Linked DNA regions of Caenorhabditis elegans. The protein of the gene in region 1 purifies or fractionates together with the protein of each later gene. This does not show direct contact. Each region holds a gene or a part of one and is shown in the gene's direction. Other genes may lie near its edges.

Region 1 (8,643 bases):
CAAAATCGGTATATAAATTTATTATAGTTTTACTAGTATAATGATCTGTTTAAGCCTTCAGATCTACATACTGTGGGGGTTTGTCTAAAATTTTTTAACTCTATTATATTAGTACATATACCAGGAGTGGGCGGATAACGATTTTTCCTGAAACTCGGCAAACCGGCAAACCGGCGATTGCCGAAAATTTTCGGCAAATTGTGATTTTGCACATTTTTTTTGGAAATTTCAGAAATTCAATTTCAATTGGCAAAATTGTACGCATCCTATGAATGTTCCTACATCTGTTTTGAAAAGTGAACAAATTCTAAGAAAGTAACTATAAAAACGGGGAAAAAAAATCAAATAGGCACAGTTTTTAGTGTTTCCGTCTTATGAAAAATACCTCTAATCATTTCCGGCAAATCTGATATCCGGCAAACGGAAAACCGGAAAATTGCCGAAAATGAAAATATCCGGAAAATCGGAAAACCGCCATTTTGTCGGAATTGAAAATTTCGTTTTACATCCAAATCCGTTTTACATCAAATTATACCCCTGTTTCTTCTTCTACAGTTCCCCTCCATTTTTTCGATTGCAGACTTTCTAGAAGTTTACATGGTTTGTGACTCTGTAATATGCTCATCTGAACCGTATGTTGGCAGATGTTCTTGCTCACAAGACCATCCGTTGTTTGATCTCTCATTTCCCACCATTAGAAGACCCGTTGTTGGCTGCAACATCAAAAACGAAATCCTCAATTACACGCAACTAACTGCTCAAATTATAAGCTTATCTATCATCTCAACAGAGGAGATCAGCTCATATTCTTCTCTCACACACCTCTTCTACCCATCACAAGATGGAGTCGTGCCAGCCCGTACCAGTGTGCTTGTTACCTAGGCGACCTGAGAAGTACAAAATAATCATCCGTCTCTTGTTTCTCACACCTTGTTAAAACTAGTCAGTTTTATACTTTTGTCTTCTGACTTCAATTCTCTTCTATTCTCTTCTTCATTAAGGATGCCCGGATCAACTGGTGCAATGGATTTGACGGAGCAAGACACGGGTAATCGCAGACAGTAATGCCTATCAGGACTTTAACTACTTGTTCTATTATAGACGAAGTTCAATAGAGATCGTACAGACACATAAATTGACAAAATTTTTGGCTCATTTCCTTCATGCTTCCATCTGGATTCACATACATATCTAATATAAAATTTCAAGTTTCACTCATCGTGTTAAACTACTTCTTATCAATAAAATCTAGTGATTTTTTTTCAATATTATACATATAAAAACCTCTCGGTTTTTTGGGGACCTCTTCAGCTGAAAACTCGTATACTTTTCCCAAAGCGTGATCGTTGATCGACTATCTGTAGCATATCGATTTGTACATCTAGTAATGGGAAACGTTTGCCAAATTTTCAAATAATTAGAATCTTTATCTCTCCAGCTCCTTAGTCTGGTACACCCAACCTTCTTCGCAACAATATTCCGCTCATCACCCACCCACCCATTGCTATGGATTCTCTCCGTCTCTTATTCCACTATTCTTTCTCTCACCCGAATCGTCTTGACCGCAGTCGGAGTCTGTCATTTCTCTCAGTCTCCACGTTCTCCATGCTCTTTTCCACTTTCACCTTCGTTCTCTTTCGTCGTCTGCCTCTAACCCCACACTCGGTCAGCAGTAGTAACAGCTCGCACACACAGACACAGACATACGCTTGCGCGCGCGCAATGAAATGGGTGTGTGCTCGTGTGTGACCGTTTCTTAACTTTTTTTTTGAATTTGACAAATAAATTAATTAGCGCAGCTTTCATAATCTTAAATCTTAAAAAAATTAACAAACTTATATATAGTTTCCAATGTTATCTGTGCCCTGATTTTCCTAAAGTCCGGAAAAAAAATTCGTTTGAATTATCGATTTGAATTTTTCCCCAACATTAAAAATTTAGTTTTCAATATTTGAGGTGAAATCATACTGATAACTATATAATATACTATAACATTAATAAATTTCTAGATGACTTTTTTCAATGTTATCAATTTGTAAACTGTGTGATTCAATTTTAAATATGAAATATATATTTCAAAATTTTTTGATTAGGTAATGTTGGCAATTGGCATTCAAAGAAATTTTGTCAGTTGATAATTACCAAAAAAATTTGATTGGAAGGGGTCGAAAGTTTGCCAGTTGTCAAAACATTTCCAAAGCTTTGCCTTTTTGGCAAAATTATGCACCTCTTACTCTCCCTCTCCCTTTTAATATTTATCAAAATTAATTCCTTTTTTCAGGTATGCAGCCGTTTAAAAGACGGGCGCTAACCTCGGACGATGATAGACCATATGCTGACACCGACTCGATGCCTGAAGTCGATCTCGACGTGGATCGCCGACGACAGTACATGGAACAGCTCAACATATTCGATGATGTTAGTTCAGGCGCGTATATGTTGGAACTTGAAGCGGCTGAAAACGGTGTGAAATATGATGAAAAAGAGGATCTTTTGAATGTTCAAATTCCCCCAAAATATGAAGATCAGATCTCGGATCCGGATGGAAATCGAATGATAATTCTGAATATCTACGTTGAGAACTTTAAAAGTTATGCTGGAAAACATATTCTCGGACCGTTTCACAAGAACTTGACAATGATCCTGGGACCAAATGGAAGTGGAAAGTCAAACGTTATTGATGCATTGCTATTCGTGTTTGGATTTAAAGTGAGTTTTTTAAATTGAAATTTTTATTCCACAATATACATTGTTTCAGGCTGGAAAAATTCGTACCAAGAAGCTATCAGCATTGATCAATTCAGGAGGGAACTACGAATCATGTTCAGTAACAATTATGTTCCAGATGGTGAAGGATATGGTAAGTAGGTTATTAAAGCGGGCCTGAGATCCACACGATTGAAAACAAACTAATAACTATCAATATCAAAATTAATTTTCAGCCTGTCGAAAATTACGATAAATATGAAGTGTTAACAGATAATTGCGTCTGCATCACCCGCACAATAAATCGTGAAAACAATTCAAAATATCGTATTGATGACAAAGATGCATCGCAAAAAGACGTCCAGGAGCTTCTCCTACGTGCTGGAATTGATATGACCCATAATCGATTCCTGATTCTGCAAGGAGAAGTTGAAGCGATTGCACTAATGAAGCCAACATCCAAAAATCCGAATGAAGAAGGAATGCTTGAATATATTGAGGATATTGTTGGAACCAATCGTTTTGTCGCACCAATTTCCAAACTAATGCATCGGGTTTCTCTATTGGAGCACAAAAGTTCACAATATGGAGCCTCGTAAGTTCATTTTAATATTATTAAATACCACAAATTTTGGCACGGATGTACCACATAAAAATATAAAGCATGGAAATTCAAATTGAACTAGGAAAAAACAAAAAAACTTTGCGGTTTCAACTTGAAATATATTAATTTTCTGAAACTTAAAAAAATTTCAAATTAAAATTCTTTCCATTTCCAGTGTTCGCCGCCACGAGGGACACCTAAAAGTCTTTGAAAAGGCAATGGTTATCGGGATGGCCTACCTGAATACCTTCAATAATCTCAACTACCTTCGTGGAATCCGTGTCAAGCACAATTTGTGCCGTTATGCTGAAACAATGAGGGACGCCAAAATGAGTCTTGTCACTCGAACAGGAGAACTCGAAGAGAACAAGGATATCATGCTTGAGGCAAAGGATGAAGTTCGGAAGAAGGAGACTCACGAGAGAAGCCTTAATAGTATTGTCACTGAGCTGGAGAATAAAAGAATCGATTGGCAATCGAAGAAGAATGACTGGCATGCACGTGATGCTAAGAGAAAGCAGGGGCTCAAGTCGTGTACTCAGGACCTTGGGAAGCTCATGAAGGAGCGGGATGAAGCTCGTCGGGAGAAGTTTGAAATTGAGACGGCTCCAGAGAATGCGAGAATCTCTAAGCAAAACATGCAACTCGAATGGGATCAGCTCAAGGAGCAGGAGAATGTGTGTCAGCGGACAGCTACAGAGAATCTCATCAAGTATGATCAGAAGTCTAGTGCCGACAGAGCGAAGCATGATGATCTGGAGAAAAAACTCTCAGATGAGCTTCTGCAATCGATGCGAGCAAAAGCAGAATTGGACGTTTCTGAATCAGAACTTAAGGATATGACGATAATGATGGAGCAGGGACAGAAGAGAGTTGATGAGCTTAAAGGGACATTGCAAACAATGATGGCTGAGAACATTAGAGATAATACGTAAGTTTTATTTTATTTTATTTTATTTTAACCAGCTTTTAAAAATTCCCCATATCCTTCCAGTGAGCTAAACGCCGTCACAACTGAGCTGCAAGATAGAAAGCTGAAGTTTGACAAAGCTGTCGAGAAGCTTCCGCATTTGAAGTCTACCGAACAACTTTTGAGAAGCAAGAAGTATGAGCTGGATCAAGAAGTGATTGAAGCATCGAACACCCAGGAAGTTACGTACCGTCATCAGGCAACCGCAAAGCTTCATGAACTGAAAGAGGCTGGATTATTTCCGGGCTTCAAAGGTCGCTTGGTAAGTTATTCGATTGGGAGTGAGTACCTGCTTTGAAATTTGATTAGCTGTGAGCATCCTGGGGTAATCTGATGTTCCATGTAAGTATGATTTTTCTGGGAGAAATACATTTTAAATAGGATCTTTCAAATTCAGAAGCCACACGTTTAGTCTGATTTCGAATTGATTTTTTTTCGAGGACCAATTTAAAATTAATTGTCTTACAGGGAGATTTGGCAAGTATCCCAATCAAGTTCGACACCGCAATTTCAACAGTGTTCTTTGCACAATTGGATTACCACGTTGTGCAAACTAGCGATGAATGTAGAATCGGAATTGGCTTCTGCCACGAGTACAAACTTCCTCGTACGACGTTTGTCTTCTTGGATCACTTGAAAGATACTGATACTAGCGGAATGGATTCTACAATGAAATTGTTGGTAGTTGCCTTTAGTTGCCAAATCTAATTAATTCTTATTTTCAGCCCAGCCGAACGACTTTTCGATAAGATTCACTGTGTAAACCCTGAGATTCGCCGCGAATTCTATTTCTTGATCCATGACATTCTGGTTGTTGACAGTCTTGAAGAAGCAACTCGAATTGATAAGAAGTATCCTGGAAGGCATCGTTATTGCACACTGAATGGCTCAATTTTGAACCGAAGTGGAGCATTGACTGGTGGTGGAAAACCGACGACTGGTCGTATTCGAAATGATAATAATCCAAACATGAGTGGAGTCAAAAAAGTTGATTTGAGCAAGCTAAGAGCCGCACAGGAGAAGCACAATCACGCACTGGAAGCTCATTTGAAGTTGCAGTTAAAGCAAGAAGAGATCCGAGCCGACAATGGTCCGATTATCAAACAGCTCGAGATTCGTAAGCGTGAATTGATTATGTCCACCAAGGAGCAGAAAACACGGATTGCCGAGTTAAAGGTGATTTATTTTTGCGTCTCTTACTGAAACACAGAAATTTTCGCTGTTCCGATTTTCTTGAAAATGGATATATCGAAAAAAAAACTAGATTTTATTCAAAATTTCCATTCTAATTTTTTAATTATTTCCAGAGCTCAATCGCAGCACATGAGCGCCGTATGGTTAACTATAGAGAAGTGACCGTTGAGGATTTGGACGAGAAGAGAGCTCAAATTGCAGATCTGAAACGTCAAGTGGAGGAGAGCCAAAAGTCTTCAGCAAAAATCAAGCAGCAAATTGAGCAATACAAACGGAAAATGGACCGAATGTTTATGGAGTTGGTCCAAAAAAATAAGGACTCAATTGAGCAGGCGAAGGATCGAATGGGACAGCTGGAGCAGGACATTGCACGACAAACTGCAATTATTGAGAACAATCCATCACATTTGGAGCAGGCCGAGAAGAAGCTTAGTGAGCTGGAGCATATGTGTCTGGAGAAACGTAGCGAGGCAGATGCATTGGCTCAATTGGAAGTTGGAGAGGATGTAAAGGGAATTGATATTATCAATGCGCAATTGCAAACTTCAACGGTATGTTTAATTTCTATAGGACTAGGATTCTGGTTAGGCTTATGTTTAGGCTTCGACTTCAGTTCAAGCTTAGGTCCAGGCTTAGGTTCTGGCTTGAGCTCCAACTTAGGCTTTTTTTAGGCTTAGGCTTTAGCTTGGTGTTTCCAACCTTGCTCCCTTAGTTCTAGTAAACATTTTCGATTTTTTTTCAAAATTTTAAACCACTATTCAAACAATTTTTGCGCTTTTTTAAGCAGTCTCCTTATGAAGTTCGCCATTTTCGAGCTATTCAGAATTTACCAATTCAAGCTTTACTATTTTCTAATTTTTAATCTTCCAGGCCAGCATTGATGCACAAAGAGCCAGGTACACTGAAGCGGTTGCGGCACGCCGAGAAGCAGATGCAGCCTATCAAACCACAGTTGACAACTACAACATGGTCAAACAGACTTATGATGAACTGATGAGAATCATTGATGACTTGGAAAACAAGACAATGGCGGATAATGCAGAACTTGATATTATTGAATCTGCATGGATGCAACCGGAAAAGCTCTATCCACCTGGCAAATTTGTCAGATATAATGATCCAGATATTGCGGCCAAAATGACTGATGGGTACGTTTCAGAAGCTTTGGGAGATTTTCCATGTGCAAATTCAAATTTATAATCACTGAGTTTTTAGGCACGTTGTACTCCCATATGAATGCATCAGTATGATCGAACCTCACCGTGAAGCTTACGAAGAGCACGAAGCGAGAATGCTTGAGGACGATGTTTTCGAGGACACTGCTAACAAGATTTGCAAGCTGGAAAAAGATGTTGACAAGTTCCGGCGGGAATTTGATAATAAAGGTGTTCGGGATTATGCGATGATTGTGTCGCTTCTCATGAACGAGGTGACGTCAGCGAAGAAGTTTAGCGATAAGCTGAAGGCTCATCGTGAGAAGCTCAACGAGTTGAGAATGGCGAGATTCAACGAGTTCAGCGAGGCGCTCGCATTCTTGGGTACTACTACCCAAATGCTTTACCAGGTGAGTAAGGGGTACTTGCCTGCTACCAGGCTGACAGGAAGCATTTTTTCTGTCAGACCCATTGCTTTAAATGAGATTAAAAGAAACAAGTTATTTGCTTACAGCTTATCACCAATGGCGGAGATGCTAGTTTGAAGTTTGTGGAAGAAGGAAAATCTACCGATCCCTTCGATGGTGGAATAAAGTTCAGTGTACGTCCCGCCAAGAAATCCTGGAAGCTCATCGAGAATCTATCTGGCGGAGAGAAGACTCTGGCCTCTTTATGCTTTGTCTTTGCAATGCACCACTACCGTCCAACACCCCTCTACGTGATGGATGAAATCGATGCGGCACTGGACTTGAACAATGTCAGCCTGATTGCAAACTATATCAAGCATTCCGAGCGAACACGGAACGCTCAATTTATCATAATTTCGCTTCGAAATCAAATGTTCGAGGTCGGAAATCGCTTGCTTGGTATCTATAAAATCGATGGAAAAACTTATAACATTATGGTGGATCCGATCGCGGTGGAGATCAAGAATCGTCCGATTTTGAAGATTTTCGAGGAGGAGATCAAACGGCGCGAGAAGCTACGACGTGCCGAGATTGAACCGGAAATTGATTTGAGTAATGGGCTCAGCAATGTCGTTATTGCACCAAAACGTAAGTAATAATTAGTGACATATCAACTGCACTTTAATTGTAAAATACCAAATCAAAGTAGCAACCAGTCCAACTTAAACCCATCTCAACAAATACCAATTTTCAGGTAAACAACGCCGGCTGGAAATGCTGAAACTCTCGGACTTTGGTCTCGATGATGACAGTGATCTTCCTGAATTTAATAGATTCCCACCCGCAACTCGTCGTGAATTAAGTGTTGAGGATTCAGATGAAGACGATGAGCCAGTAAGAAGACGTCCGCGTCGTCAAGTTGAAGAGGAAGATGAAGAGGATGAATTGATCGAAGAAGCAACTCCATCTCCACCACCAATTGTCGTTCAACGCCGTGTGCGAAGAAGCAGACATTAAATTGAAGTAATATATTTTAAACTAAATTTTGAAAAAAAAAAGAAAACTTTGTGAAAAATCCAAAAAATGAGACCAACTTTCTTTCAAGCTTGTATTTTTTAATATTCGTCTAGCTTAATTTTTCCTTGTGATTTTAATTATTTCCCTTTTTAATATATTTCCATTTTGTTGTATATTTTGTGAAACCCCTATATCTTTGCATCACGTACTGTCCAATCTATCTCATTTTCTTAATTCGCTGACAAGGTAAATTTTCGATTCACGATTCACAAAAATAATTATTTCATTTTTATTTTAGAACTACATTGCAAAGTTTTTCCTAAAAAAAATAATGCCATCAAAAAATAATTTCCTAACAAAGAAAATTTCCTAAAATTTCGAAAGCTGCTAAAAATTTGACTAAAAATTTTGGACAATCTGTTAAAAAACAGGATCTTTTATTTTGATATATACATAGTTATTTTAATCCTTTTTGGTAGACCTTAACAAATTTTTTGAAAATATTGTTAGTTGGGAAATTTGTTAAAACCACTCAAATGTTTGTTAAAAAAACCATGTATAATATTGCAACTTATATATTTTTACAAAAAA
Region 2 (5,484 bases), on another chromosome or scaffold:
CTCTCGTCCTCTCTCCCGGCCAGCCAGCCGGAGCGACGCGGTCGCGTCGCGTGTCCTTCTTGTTTCTCACGCATACACACACACACACACACACACTCTCTATGTCTCTCGATACTCTCTGCACGGCGATGTGCTGACGAAGGCCCCCTTTTTTCTTCTTCTTCGCGTTTACCGCCGGGGGTGGTTTTTTATTTGGATTTTGAATTTTTTTTGTGCACCATCGCTATCGATAGTGATAACGATTATATCGTGATCGTTTTTTTGTGGTTTAGTTGAATATATAGTTTAGAAAGAGCAAACAATTTGATTAGAAAGTTCTAAGGTTAATTCATTTCAATTTATTTCGAAAGCCGATTTTATTTGAAATGGGTAGAAATTAATGTTTTTTAAGCGGAGATTTAGTTTTAAATCATATAAATTATGGGGTTTAGTTTATTTCAAGTAATGTTACAAACTGTATTAAAATACATGCTTTTATGTATTTTAATACAGTTGTGACGTAATTACTTGAATAACCCCATTAGTTTTTAGTTTATCGTTAATGTTTTATTATAGAAGCTGATTTAAATGTAATACTTCCTTACTAGTTACTTTTAATCATTGAATGAGTAAAATTACTTTATTTACTAATTTAAATAGTTACTAACAAATCGTGATAAGTATCTTTGCTAATAAGTTTAATTTATAAAAAATAAGAATTTGAAAGCCTCGTCTTGTTCAAAAAATAATTCCGCTGTCACTATTCATTATCACGTTAATATTTACGATATATAGACTTTTCTATATTTTTCAGATTTTCTTGAAGAAAATTTGCAAAGTTTGCGAAATATTTTAAATTCTCGTTAGTAACTTAATTAAACGATTTTTTTTTTCATTTATCGACTCAGATTAACCGAAATTATAGTTTGGGAAGAATTTCGAATGTAACTATTATTTTTGAGCTTAGAATTAAGAAATTATTATAATTAACACTAGTATAGAAAAAAATTAAGCTTCTTCACTTTTGACGTAGTAAAAATATAATTACACCACCTTTTTAAAGTTGGTGCGTTAATAATGAGTACGTTTAATAATTTAATTTAAATTCTTCGTTATTATCAAAAATATATAAACTGACATGTGAAACGTGGCTTATTTTTTTTGCTTTGTTTTTTATTTGAGCTCCTCCCATTTTTTTAAAATGAACTAATAAATTAAAATTTCAACGAAAGGAAAAATAAAAAATAAGCCACGTTTCACATGTCAGTTTATATATTTTGATAATAGAGTACAATTAAATTAAATCAATAATAATTATTATTATAGAGGACTTTTAAATATATTGAAATATAATTTCCTAGCATATTTCGAAAAAGTGTCATATTTCTCTCCGAATGCTCGTATTGTTTATAGAACACAAATTCTCGTAAACCTTTTTTTTTTGTTGCGATTTCCGCATTCCGTCCTTATTACTTCTGATTAGACTATAACTAAATTAACAATAGAATATAGAAATCCGAATATAGCTATTATTTATGAACTTACCTTGTTTAATTTCACCTTTGACGTATTATTAATAAGTTATTAAAATAATTTGCGTTCATAAATAATGTTTTTAACTCAATAAGTTAAGATTTTCATGAATAAAACAAGTGCTCCATTATAGCTTATGGGATTATTCGAGTAGTGTCGCGGAAAATTGAAAAAGTGTAGAAAAATGACATCACAGCTGCTTAATTAAAATACATAAAAACATGTATTTTAATAATTTTTTTACAACATTACTTGAATAACCCCATTAGTTAAATTACGAAAATCAGAAATCCTTTTAATCAAAAGTTATAACGAGCATGATTTAATTAACTCTATAGTTATTAATTCAGTTTATTAAATTGCCCTTTATAGTGTTTAAGAACTATGTTTTAAATTGAGAAATCGATTTTTTTTTTGGGAAAATTTAATTTATTCGTGTTTAACTCCGAATTCGTCATAGCCATAGGCTTAATTAAAATGGAATGTATCTCGAATCTATTTTAATTCTGATTCTCCTGAATATTCCTGCAAGCAATAGCTTTTTGGCCGGAAATTTTAATACGTTAAAGTTGTGCTACCAGCGTTTTCTTTCAATTTATATGGATTTTCATCGAAATTGTGCCAAATTTGTCTATTTTTCACCGAAAAATCCCTATTTTTTCTCAAATTTTCCTAGATTTTCCGCATTTCTTCTCCGATTTACTCTAAAAAATTTTCCAAATTTCAGACCCAAATTTGCGCCAACACAGAAAAAAAACAAAACCGAACAACAATTTTGCACTTTGAACGACAATTTTGAAGGAAGAATGATTGCACATTAAGAAGAAGAACATCAAAAAAAAAAAATCTCCAAACAAAATTGTCTGAAAGTGATATAAAATATGAGAAGCACCACTTTTGATAAGGTTTGTTTCGAAGGAAAAAAAATCCCAAAAAATTATCGATTTTTGCAGAACTCTGGTGCTCCTGAAGAGCCGAGACGTCCGCGTGGACCGAGAACACCTGTAAGTAGCTCGAAAAAATTTTTTTTGACCACTTCCGGGGGTCGAACCCCGGAGGTGTGGGTTCCAGTCGGGCCCCTAACCGACTGAGCAACTTGCACACCCAAAAAAAAATTTCGAAAAAAAAACTGAAATCGATTTGAAATTTTGCGTAGATTTCGAATGTGTCATCAAATTTTAGTTTGGAAAATGCTGAAAACCTCTCATTATCGAAATTTATCAGTTTTGGAGTCAAAAAAGTCTAAAAAACTTGATTGTCTAATCAAATACCCAATTTATTTTGTGATGAAACACGGAAAACACTCTACAAAAAATAATGACCACAGCTGGGGGTCGAACCCCAAACATTTGGGTGCCAGCCGGGCCACTAACCGACTGAGCCACTTTTGCACCAAAAAAAATTGTTTTTTTCAACAAAAAAAAAAGAATTCGATCTGAATTTTTCCGTAGGTTTCGAATTTGAAACCAAATTTTAGTTTTTATAAGGCCGAAAACCTCTAATTCTCGTAATTTCTCAGTTTTAGAGCAAAAAATGCCTAAAAATCGACGACTTTTGGACTTGAAAGAACATAGTTTCACCGGAAATCTCGATAGAAATACGAAGTTTTGATGTAGAAATGCCAAAAAAACTCTACAAAAATTATGAGCCACAGTGGGGGTCGAACCCCGGACGTGTGGGTGCCAGTCGGGCCCCTAACCGACTGAGCCACTTGTGCACCCAAAAAAAAATTTTTTTTTGTTGAAAAATTACCATTCGAACTGAAATTTGACGATAAATTCGAAAATTTTGTTAATTTTTGTATTTGAGAACACAGTGAAAACCCAATTTTCGACATAAAACCGCAAAAAAAAATCGATTTTTACAGGACGGAGAACCCACAGAAGCCAACGAAAGGCCGTGCTCGTCGAGCTCATCACTGAGCAATGATTCGTTTGTTCCAGCACCACAAGGACCTCAGAAGTAGGCGATTTTTTTTTGGTTTTTCGGCTGAAAATTGGCCTAAATTTTTGAAGCTGAAATTTGACCTATTTTCTGACATTTTTCTTTAGAAAATTCCAATTTTCACCCAAAAATAGCTGAAAATCTCTGGAAATTATTATTTTGAAAAAAAATTCCCCAATTTTCAGCGGACACACGAGCAGCAGCCATGACAATGATTATAGTGAATACCGCCCACGCCGTGGGCCTAAAACTCCGCCTCTTCCACCGCCGGATGAGCCTGTAAAACAGCAGCAACAGCAGCAGCCAATTGTTGCTCCATATTCCTATTATCCAACGTGAGCATTTTCTTTTTTAAAATTTCGAAAAAAAATTTTTTTTTGGTAAAAGTTTTTTTTTTGACGAAAAAACTTAAATTTTTTTTTCGTATTTTCACTGAAAATTTGAATTTTAGGCGAAAACTTGAAAAAAGTTCAAAATTATTTTTTTTGCTTTGGGGAGCAAGTGGCTCAGTCGGTTAGCGGTCCGACTGGCACCCACCCGTCCGGGGTTCGACCCCCGACAGTGGTCATTAATTTTTGTAGAGTCTTTTTTGGTGTTTCTAATGCTTTTTAAGCTCTTTTACGCAGTTTTTATACTTTTTTTCTAAAAAAATTCCAAAATTTCACTTAAATTTTGAATTTTCAAAAATTCAAAAATTCCAACAAAAAAAAATTTTTTTTCAAAAATTATTTTCCTGAAAGTATTTTAAGCACCACTCTTCCGCAATTTTCACAAATTTTTCCATAAAAAATTTGAAATTTCACGTAAATTTTGAATTTTAAGCCAATATTTTTTGGGGGTCTTCAAATTTAGAGCTCTAAAATTCCCAATGTTTTCAGATACGGCAGCTCTACAGGATATCCGTATCCGTATCCGACGATGATGATGCCACAACAAGGAATTCCTGGTAATTATTGATTTTTGCAGTACTTTAACGATTTTGGAGCATGAAAACTAGGCGTTTTTTGGTTTTTTCGGCCTGAAATTGAGCCTCTAAAACTGAGGATTTTGACACAATTCATCTAAAAATTTGAAATTTTCAGAATTTTTCTAGTTAAAACTATTGAAATTGAGCTTAAGCCCGAAAATCTAGTTGAAAAATTGACATTTTTCTCATGTTTAAGCTAAAAAACCACCGAAAATCTCAATTTTTGTCATAAATCAGTTGGAAAAATTCGCATTTCTGCGATTTTTCCCAACTTTAAAGCCCTTTACAGTCATAAAAATTGGATTATTCGACCAAAAAATTTCGAAAAATCGAAAATTTCCAGCTAACGAGCCTGAAAATCCTTAGAAAAATCCGATTTCTTCAGGCTTTTCAAGCCTAAACCTAAAGCCTAAAAAGAACCTTCAAGCCTAAAAAAAAGAGAAGCTTCCAATTTTCAGGCCCTTCCCAACATCCGGCGACACCATCCTACTACATCCAACATCCACCACCACCATCAATGTCCAACGGCGCCCCATACTATCCACACATGAATCCATCGCCGTACTATCAACCTCGTCCGAACTATGTCACTCAACCACCTGCACCCATCATTCCACCACCACAACCACCAGTGATGACTGCCTCGGCGGCTGCGGCTGCCTACCGCGATCGCCTACCTCCACCGCCTCCGAAGCCTCCGATGCCTGATCTAAGGACCAAAGAGCCAATCGGAATCCGTAGCTGGAATGGATCAGGCATCCCACCTCCGCCGATCCTTCCACCAGTTGCTTGTCTATCGTCGACGATGTCACCCGGGATGCTGAGATCCCCAGTGCCGAGAGAACGATTCAATAGTGTGGAGAGTAATGGATCTTTTAGCCTTCATCCACCACCACCAGTGCCACCACCCGCGAAGAAGCCACTGAACATGGATGTTCGGGAGTTGCTCAACGGAGCTCATCAGACAACTGTGGAGAGTGTGAAGAAGGATCCACCAGCACCACAACCACGACCTCGTCCGATTCCGGTTCCACCGACGACATCGTACAACTCATCGTTCT
Region 3 (8,333 bases), on another chromosome or scaffold:
TTAACGTTTTATTTATTTTTCTGTTTGTGTTTTCTTCTCCAAACTTGAGATAAAGCCATCTTCCTCCATCGATTTTTTACAGATGTTTAAAAATAATTATTGAGGCAGGTGAAAATTTCCCAACACAATATCATTCTTTCTAACCGCATTTTTCCAGTTTTTCTTATTTATTTACATATAGATGACCTCAATTCTTCGAAAAGTGGAATGGGTTCGAGTAGCAGGGAAATGGACGAAAATGTCCGTCATGGGGTTGGATATTTCAGACGAAACGCTGAAAATTCAGAAGAAAAAGGAGAACGAGAATCGAGTGATTATTTTAATGATTCCAGGTAAATCGGGAAATTGCGCTTTTAAAAATTTAAGAAAATTTTAATTTCAGGAAATCCCGGAAACGAAGGATTCTACGCTCATTTCGGACGAGAAGTTTTGCAAAATTTGATAAAGAAAGATGAAGATGAGCAGAAAAACTTGAAAAATCAATATTTATTCTACACAGTTTCAAGTCTCAATCATGTTCGAATGCCAGATCATTTGAAAGATGATGGAGAACATCGAAATCATGGTAATAAATACAAATAAAACGAAGAACCGTTCACTCCAGCCTTTTAACTTATTTAGTTTCGCCGATTTCGCAGTATTTTTCGCCCTTTTGTTTTTTTTTCAAATACCTAACGAGACTCATGGATCCGGTGCGGAGCGCGTTTTTACGTCGATTATAATATATTTCCAGACCGAATTTCTCTGGAGGAACAAGTCAATCACAAACTATCATTTGTGAAAGAGCACCTGCCACGTGGAAAGCAACTGTACATTTTGGGGCATAGCATTGGTTCGTATATGATGTTAAGAATCATTCCTGAAGTGATAAAAGAAGGATTCCACGTGGAAAAAGCTGTTGGACTGTTTCCAACGATAGTTCATATGGCAAACTCACCAAATGGGAAACGATTACATGGAACTTTAGCTGTAAATTCAATTTCTTTATTTTAATTTTTAATTGTAAACTTTCAGACATTGAACCATCATGATTGGCTCACAAAAACGATTTGCTGGTGGGTGGATTACCTGCCAAACTCGATCAAAAAATTTCTTGTTGGATTGAACCTGAGACATCCTAATGTAAATTTTTTTTTGAATGTCAAGCAACAAAAAACATAATTTTTCAGACTCCCCCAGAGATCGTCGATGCGGCAGTTGAGCTTGTCCATATGGATGTGTTCAGAAATATAGTTCACATGTCAAACGATGAACTTGATATCGTTTTAGACCTAGATGAGCGTCTTTTGGAAAAACAAGACGTGGTTCATTTCTATTATGGCCTCAAGGATGGATGGTGTCCAGTGCAGCATGGTATTGACCTTGAAAACGTTGTGTAGATTGAAAATAAAATTTATAGGATACTCCATGCGGGACAGACTTGGTGAGGAGCAGGTCACATTGGACGAAGACAATTGTGAACACGCTTTTGTTATTTCTGAAGGAGACATTATGGCGAGAAATGTTATAAAATATTTCGATTGATCAGTTGCTCCGAGTTTTCCGTACTTCAACCTGTGATTGCATTACCTAGAATTTTATCTTTTAATAAATATAAAAATATTTGCACATTTTATTGTTTTTCCTTTTCTATGTGTTTGTTTCTAACACCTGTTAATATTTCTTCAATTGATTAATTGATTTTATTTAAGTATTTAACAGGAGCTCTAGTTATTACTGCCAGGATTAAGTGGTGACGAAACAAACTTTATTGCTCTCTACTGAATTCTAGTCTACTTAGGCTTAGTAAACATTAAAAAACCCCTTTTCAATTCCGAAAGTTCCGTTTTTAAATAAAAAATAAATAAAACGGCGCGAAAGCATGTGCGCTCTAATGCAAATTTGAAATCGAAGAGAGCGAAACAGCAGATTGGCGTGCTCTAGTCGTTTCAGTCATTACCTCGTTCTTTTGTTTCTTTGGAAACTGTTTTATACACGAGTCTTTAAATGTTTAAAAAGATATTTTGTAATTTTCCATTTTTGGGACATATACAGATCATTTGTCGCCCCGGTATTTTCACTATCAGTGGAAATGCAGAGAATAACAAGATATTTTAACAATTCGACATGTGTTATTCTTTTTCTGAATGTCTATCTTTTTGTTAATTCATTTCAATTTTCAAATTTTCAGTAACCCACCCCTCTCATGCCACCGAAGAAGCGAATTCGCGGGCCGAAGTTGCCAGCACTTCGTGAGGAAAAATCAACTGGTACAGATGTGGCTTCAGATGAATCATTCAACGAAAGTGCTGATTTTTTGAATAATGAAGAATTAAACAATGATCAAAACGATGCGGAAAATACAGTTTTGAGCGAAGGTGTATCCACTCTTAGAATCAATGAAAACATGACAAAAGAGGATCGAGCTTGTATTTCTGCAGCACTTTTCATAAAGTAAGTATCAAAATGAAAAAAAAAACTAAAGTATTTTATAGAAAAAGAGTCGTAGAATCAATTCGAACAGTTTTTCAATCTCGTGATGATATTAATGATGAAATACATACCAGTTCGCGGAAACTGATTGCAGCATTTAAAAAGGTTAATTTATTTTAAAAATCGAAATAAAAATAATTTTAAAAATTATCCAATTTTCAGGCTGATCAGAATCGTAAGAAAAAGGTCGATTTAATGAAAGTTTTCCTTGATGAAATAGATGTCCGACTTTCAATGATTATCGAAGAGGTGACTGTTCCTGAGCATCGGGCTCGTGTCTTTAAATTAATCGCAGTGACAATAACTGAAATTCAAGCTTTCAAGCTTCCATCGGATCTCCTCGATTTTATTATCAATTTTATTAACACTGTGAGTATTCAATTTAATAAAAATCCGCATAATAAAACTTATTTTCAGTGGGGACATAGTGATAATGTTGCTGCGAGAATTAACACGACCTGCTTCATCAGTTATATATTCGAGACAGGGAAACGATATTTAACAACTGAGGGTGAATATTCTGGATTTGAAGTCAAGATTGCAGCTAAAATGTTTTTACAATTGAAGAGAGCACTGCTTGACAAGGAGGTTTGTTTCATTCAAAAGTTGATTCAATTCTGAAAAGCTGAAATTGAACTTTTTTCAGCAAACCGCCAGAGTTCCAGCTATTCGAGGCCTAGGATTCTTGCAAGAAATACCAATTCCATCGAATTGGCCAGTAGATGCTATGAAACATTCACCAAGAGAACGTAAGTTTTCAAACTTTTATAAAGGCGCACTAAATGAAGCAGCCGTAGAATTCAAAATTAAACTACCATATATTTTTTGGATCAAAGCACAAAAAAATTTATGGTAGTTTAATTTTGAATTTTGCGGCTGCTTCATTGTTTTTTCCTTGCATTTTACTGTTCAAAGTTGTTGAAAATCAGTTTTTTAATCCTTTTCACAGGAAAAACAAACATTTTAAATGAAAAATTCATACGTATTTTGAAACTTGGCCCATATAAAGAAATCCGTGCGCCTAGCATGCCAAGGTGTTGTGAAATTACTATACAATACCAGCGTTTGTTCTTTTTAAATTACAAATTTCAGTTCTTCTCCGTTCCTGTAGAGACACAGCATGGGAATGCCGACTTGTTGCAGTTCAATCAATGGTACCATTAGAAACAGATGTTAGACTACTTTCAGACATTGTCTATTATGACAAGTGTCTCAATGTTCGTGTCGCAGCACTTGAACAGTTTTCAAACCTCAGGCCAAACAAACATGTTCGCGAAAAAATTGAAATGCTTGATTTATGCCTGAAAGACCATGAAGGTTTGTTTGTAATTTATGACTAATGATATTAAATTGTAATTTTCCAGTAAATATTCGAGATGCGGCAAAGGAAGTTCTGAAGAATTGGGTTCGTAATTTGTCAACGAGATGGAGCGAAAGTCAAAAGAGCAAAGATTCCAATGATGTTGTCATTTTGAATTCTAATTCTGAATCCACAACAGGAGAAGAGAATAAAATGAAAGGATATATTCTTGCGGCCCAAGCACTTACATTGCTATGGCTAACGGGTGCTCTTGAAACATTGGAAGGTCACTCAAACTTGAGACGATTGATAACTCATACACTTGATGTTATTCGTCAAATGTACGTCTGTCAAGCGGATCCGATTAACACATTCGCAGAGGTTTTAATTAGCGATTTGAGAGAAAAAATGAAGTCAAGTGCGGTGCCGATTATTACTAAAAGTACTGTTGGATCAATTTTAGATGACAGCGAGCTTGCTGATACGTGAGTTTCTTGCTGGATTCATGGTTTTTTGCAGCAAGATTATCATTTTCAGACAAGATCCAAGCACCAATCGAGCCATGATCTTCTTTTGGAGATGTCTTGTTGATTATATTTCCGATAGAAAACGGAATGATGCTGATAAGATAAACGCCATGTCACGTTTCGTCAGTCCATTGCGCACTATGGTAGAGCATGTGGAAAAGTATGATTTTCTTACTATTTGTTTTATAAGAGTAACAATTAATTTTATTTTTCAGAATTCTCGTTCGAGTCAAGAATCTGGATGTTTATCCGAACATTAGCCAAAGAGCAGACTACGAGGATCACACTTTCGTTCTGCAAATGTCAATTGTTGAGAATATAATATGTGTGATGAGACATGCACCAACAGATCAACCTGGAGTTGATGCATACAAGCAAATGTTAATTTCAATGTTGATGAATGTGTTCTATCAGAAAAAAGTGATTGATCTCATCGTTCAAGAACTCGCACAATTTTACAAAGAAGATCCGAATGCACTGTTCACATTGTTTAATGATAGAATTGAAGAAATGAGATCGAAATATAAAAGTGGACAGTTTCCAGTTATTGAAAATAGTGTACCCGTTGGAGAGACAAAGGTTCGAAAAGATTTAGAAGAGGAAACACGCAAAACCGGCCGACGAACAATTTCAGACAAAGATGTAAGATTTTATATAGATTATTTAATTTTCAAAATTTGAAAATGTTTCAGGGAATCGCAGTTATTGATCTCTACGAGTTGAAAGTATTGAATGCTTTATTGAAAACTGGAATTTTACTTGGATGGAGTACAACCTATCAGAATAGATACAACAACAAGCTTCGCGAGGGTATTTCATCGAAAGATTTGAGTACTCGTGTTCTCTGTACTGAATGTATTGGTATTGGTGCAATCTATGATTATGATCAAGCAGAAAATACTCTTCGTGAAATGATGAAGAGCTTTAACACCCAAGATGAACCAGTTCAGTGTTCATTAATTGCTGCGCTCACTGATATTCAAATTGAGCATGGCGATCAAGTTGACGCTCTGTTCAGCTGGAATTCAAAGCAACCCAATTTTGCAGTATTTCTATCGGATATTGTTGTCAATGCACATGTTTCAGGAGAATGTGAAACCATGTTAAGAGCAGTTGAAGCAATTTCAAGACTCTTCTTGAATACAAAAATTGACCCGAATCAACAAAAATGGCAACGTACAATGGTTACACTTATGACTCGAGCTTCATACGCGATCACTAATCGCTTCTCCGCTAAAGTTCGCAGTACGATCATTGTGATGCTCAAATTCTTCTGCTCTATCAACAAGTAAGCTTGGCTTCTCATTTCCTGGGAAACTGATGAAAAAAATTAAAAAGTTATTTTCAGAAACAATCAACTTCTTCTCATTAAATCATTCCACAATTTCTTCGATATGTGGGCCAACTCTACGACACCCGAACGGTTGACTGAAAATCGCCATGAAATGGTTACAAAGCTTAAAAGATGTGCAGCCACTTTTGTTGCATTGACTCGTCATTCCACGCTTCCATTGGAAGAACAGAAGAAGGTATGCCGATCAGAGTTGAATCCGATAATTTATTTTTAGTGCGAAAAATAAGCGAAAATCTCGCAAGTCTAAAACTTTTTTGTTGAAAATTGAAAGGATTGTGCACAAAAAAATTTCGAATATTTTTCCTCCTGCCTTTTTTCAAAGTTTTAAGTTTTAAACAGTTTTTTTGGAGCAAAAATATATTTTCTAATCCAGAAAATACATTTTTTAAAGAAAACAATTTAAAAAAAAAACGACATCACTGTGCGCCGCGTCCAAAACACCAAAAAATCCCGAAATTTTTTCCGTCAGTTTTCAGTGCAATTTTCAAAAAAAAAATCAAATTTGGGGATTTTTTTGCGTTTTGGACACGGAATCACAATTCCTAGTGCCATTTTTCGAAAAAAAAGGTGTAAACTTTTACAATTGTATGAGGTTTTTAGTTAACGACAGGTTAACGACAAAAAATCGATTTTAAAAAACTCGAAAAAAACGAAAACCTAAAAATTTTCAGTTGTGCTACCGATAAATAGTTATGAATGATTTAATTTTCAGTGTAAACCAACACACGTCGACCTTGTGGATGACATATTTCACGAAATGGCTGGAGCTCCTGATTCAACATCTGTCGATTATTATATTTGTGCTCTTAACTTCGTGGAATATCAGAGTCTCAGTAGATCAGCTCTCACAAAAATTCATGGAGATTTAGAATCGTATATATTTGTAAGTATATACCAAATAATTATAAATTATTCTAATTTGAAAACATTCAATTTTTAGCTCCACGAATTAGACGGTGACAAGCATCGATACAACGAACTTCGAAAGGCTCATAGAAAGATAGCGAAAATTCTCGGATTGAACGAAGATGAAATTGAAGAAGTGCCAAGCAAAACTGACTTAAGAAAAGAAGCAGCGCCGTCCAAAACCAACAAAAGAAATGCGAACTTGATCAGCACGGATATCGCAGTTGATAATGATGTGAATATGGAAGAAGATGATAAGCCTGGCCCATCAAGACCCGCTACTGTTAGAAAACCGAGAGCTCCACGAGCAACTCCAGCGTCTGCCACGAAAAAGAAACCTTTAGTTGAAGAGGATGCGTTGGAGATTTTGAAAAGTCCACCCAGAAATACTAAAAGTGAGTTTGAACAGATCGCTTCAGTATTTGGTTTTTCATAACGGACTGAATATTTTCAGAACCACCATCCCGTCCAACTACAGCTACCCGTCCAACTGCAGTTGCAGCTCGCACAGCACCTCCAAGAAGTGCACGTAAACTGAGAAGTGAAAAATGAGAAATTAATAATTTAAATTGACTTGTGCTTTTCGATCTCGTTATTTATTACCACTTACATTTTAACCTTTTTTTCCTCGAACACGTTTCCCAATTTTTATGAATTTAAATAACTTTACCTTTTCCGCCATATTTCTTAATTCTCTAATTTCATTTCCTAGAAATTATTTATTCGACTATACAAACCACCCAACAATAATGCAAAATTCTCCACTTGGTCTCTTCATATTCATCATCATTATTACCCTACATGCAACTAAGGCATTCGATGTAAAGTTTTCTTTTGTAATTCGTTAACTTCCACAGAAAATTCTTAATTCTATCAAATAAATTCGTAGATTTCAATCGAACACCCTTCTGGACATGGCACTTACTATCGATTCTTGTTCATTTACGCATCAATCTCGGGGCTGATGATGGTTGTTTTAGTAATTTCGGCGATTATCTCGATGTGCAGAAGATACAAATTGGTGGCTAGTCAAGAGGATGAGGTAAAACATTAAAAATTGATTTTTTCCAGATATAAATATATTTACAGATTTCGGAGCTCCAGTGATGAGCATGTAAATTTAACTTTCTACTGAAAACTCTTAATTTTTCGAATAAATATCAATACGTTAAAAAATGAATTTTCGCTGCGAGACCCGTTGTGACAAACTGGTGCACCTTTAATACCTGTTTCAAGTACAATCGGAAAGTTTATAATAATTTATTATTATTTATGATTCTAATAGAAATTTTGGTGAAAATATGAAAAAAAAAGTGAGAAGCTTACACGTGTGATCAATACCACGCGGGGATCGGGGATGGAGGGGAAAAGATATGGAAATTTCTAGTGAAAATAATATCTAAATGGGCACAAAATTGAGTTACAGGGAGCAAATGTGTGGGGGAAGGCACTTTTGAGAAGAGGAATTTTTTTTGGGAAAAACATTTGAAACAAAAAAAACTGAAAAATATAGGAAAATCATGTACAAAATATGAAAAAAAAAACGTATCACAGAGTGGAGAATCAGAGAAGTTTTGATTAGAATACGAGAGAAAGAGAATTAGACATCAGAAACTTCTGAATCTGGATCATAAAGTGGATTGTCTACTCGTAGAGGATCAGCTTTCTCCTTTTTGGGTCGAGCTGGAATTGGTGGCTTCGAGATTTCCGCTTTTGGGACTGCAAATAGAAATTATTATACTTCAGATATTCGTTTAATTTACTTTAATCTATT

Evidence for each region.
Region 2: the proteins of dpy-27 (region 1) and dpy-21 purify together in Caenorhabditis elegans (affinity purification with western blotting, with the first as the bait; one study listed by BioGRID). This does not show direct contact.
Region 3: the proteins of dpy-27 (region 1) and capg-1 purify together in Caenorhabditis elegans (affinity purification with western blotting; one study listed by BioGRID). This does not show direct contact.

The regions. Positions count from the first base shown.
Region 1 is NC_003281.10:3,813,318-3,821,960, reverse strand, and holds dpy-27 (Chromosome condensation protein dpy-27), read left to right. Parts: upstream 1-2,281; 5' UTR 2,282-2,283; coding exon 2,284-2,709; intron 2,710-2,758; coding exon 2,759-2,860; intron 2,861-2,942; coding exon 2,943-3,301; intron 3,302-3,485; coding exon 3,486-4,241; intron 4,242-4,304; coding exon 4,305-4,542; intron 4,543-4,748; coding exon 4,749-4,957; intron 4,958-5,005; coding exon 5,006-5,456; intron 5,457-5,587; coding exon 5,588-6,025; intron 6,026-6,344; coding exon 6,345-6,622; intron 6,623-6,689; coding exon 6,690-7,038; intron 7,039-7,142; coding exon 7,143-7,683; intron 7,684-7,789; coding exon 7,790-8,052; 3' UTR 8,053-8,317; downstream 8,318-8,643. UniProt on the Caenorhabditis elegans protein: Central component of the condensin I-like dosage compensation complex that associates specifically with hermaphrodite X chromosomes to reduce their gene transcription throughout development.
Region 2 is NC_003283.11:17,945,938-17,951,421, reverse strand, and holds the start of dpy-21 (Lysine-specific demethylase 9), read left to right. Parts: upstream 1-2,228; 5' UTR 2,229-2,393; coding exon 2,394-2,417; intron 2,418-2,465; coding exon 2,466-2,516; intron 2,517-3,379; coding exon 3,380-3,474; intron 3,475-3,641; coding exon 3,642-3,791; intron 3,792-4,334; coding exon 4,335-4,402; intron 4,403-4,881; coding exon 4,882-5,484. UniProt on the Caenorhabditis elegans protein: Histone demethylase that specifically demethylates dimethylated 'Lys-20' of histone H4 (H4K20me2), thereby modulating the chromosome architecture. Promotes chromatin compaction by converting H4k20me2 to H4K20me1 leading to transcriptional repression.
Region 3 is NC_003279.8:7,633,616-7,641,948, reverse strand, and holds capg-1 (Condensin complex subunit capg-1), read left to right. Parts: upstream 1-2,163; 5' UTR 2,164-2,185; coding exon 2,186-2,433; intron 2,434-2,474; coding exon 2,475-2,577; intron 2,578-2,634; coding exon 2,635-2,841; intron 2,842-2,889; coding exon 2,890-3,060; intron 3,061-3,118; coding exon 3,119-3,221; intron 3,222-3,564; coding exon 3,565-3,789; intron 3,790-3,836; coding exon 3,837-4,257; intron 4,258-4,309; coding exon 4,310-4,459; intron 4,460-4,514; coding exon 4,515-4,941; intron 4,942-4,991; coding exon 4,992-5,587; intron 5,588-5,647; coding exon 5,648-5,828; intron 5,829-6,365; coding exon 6,366-6,536; intron 6,537-6,593; coding exon 6,594-6,954; intron 6,955-7,013; coding exon 7,014-7,111; 3' UTR 7,112-7,457; downstream 7,458-8,333. Other genes in the region: F26A3.1 (Lipid droplet-associated hydrolase), read left to right, coding at 182-332, 383-565, 734-969, 1,015-1,122, 1,170-1,353, 1,400-1,524; lrp-1 (Low-density lipoprotein receptor-related protein), read right to left, coding at 8,160-8,278.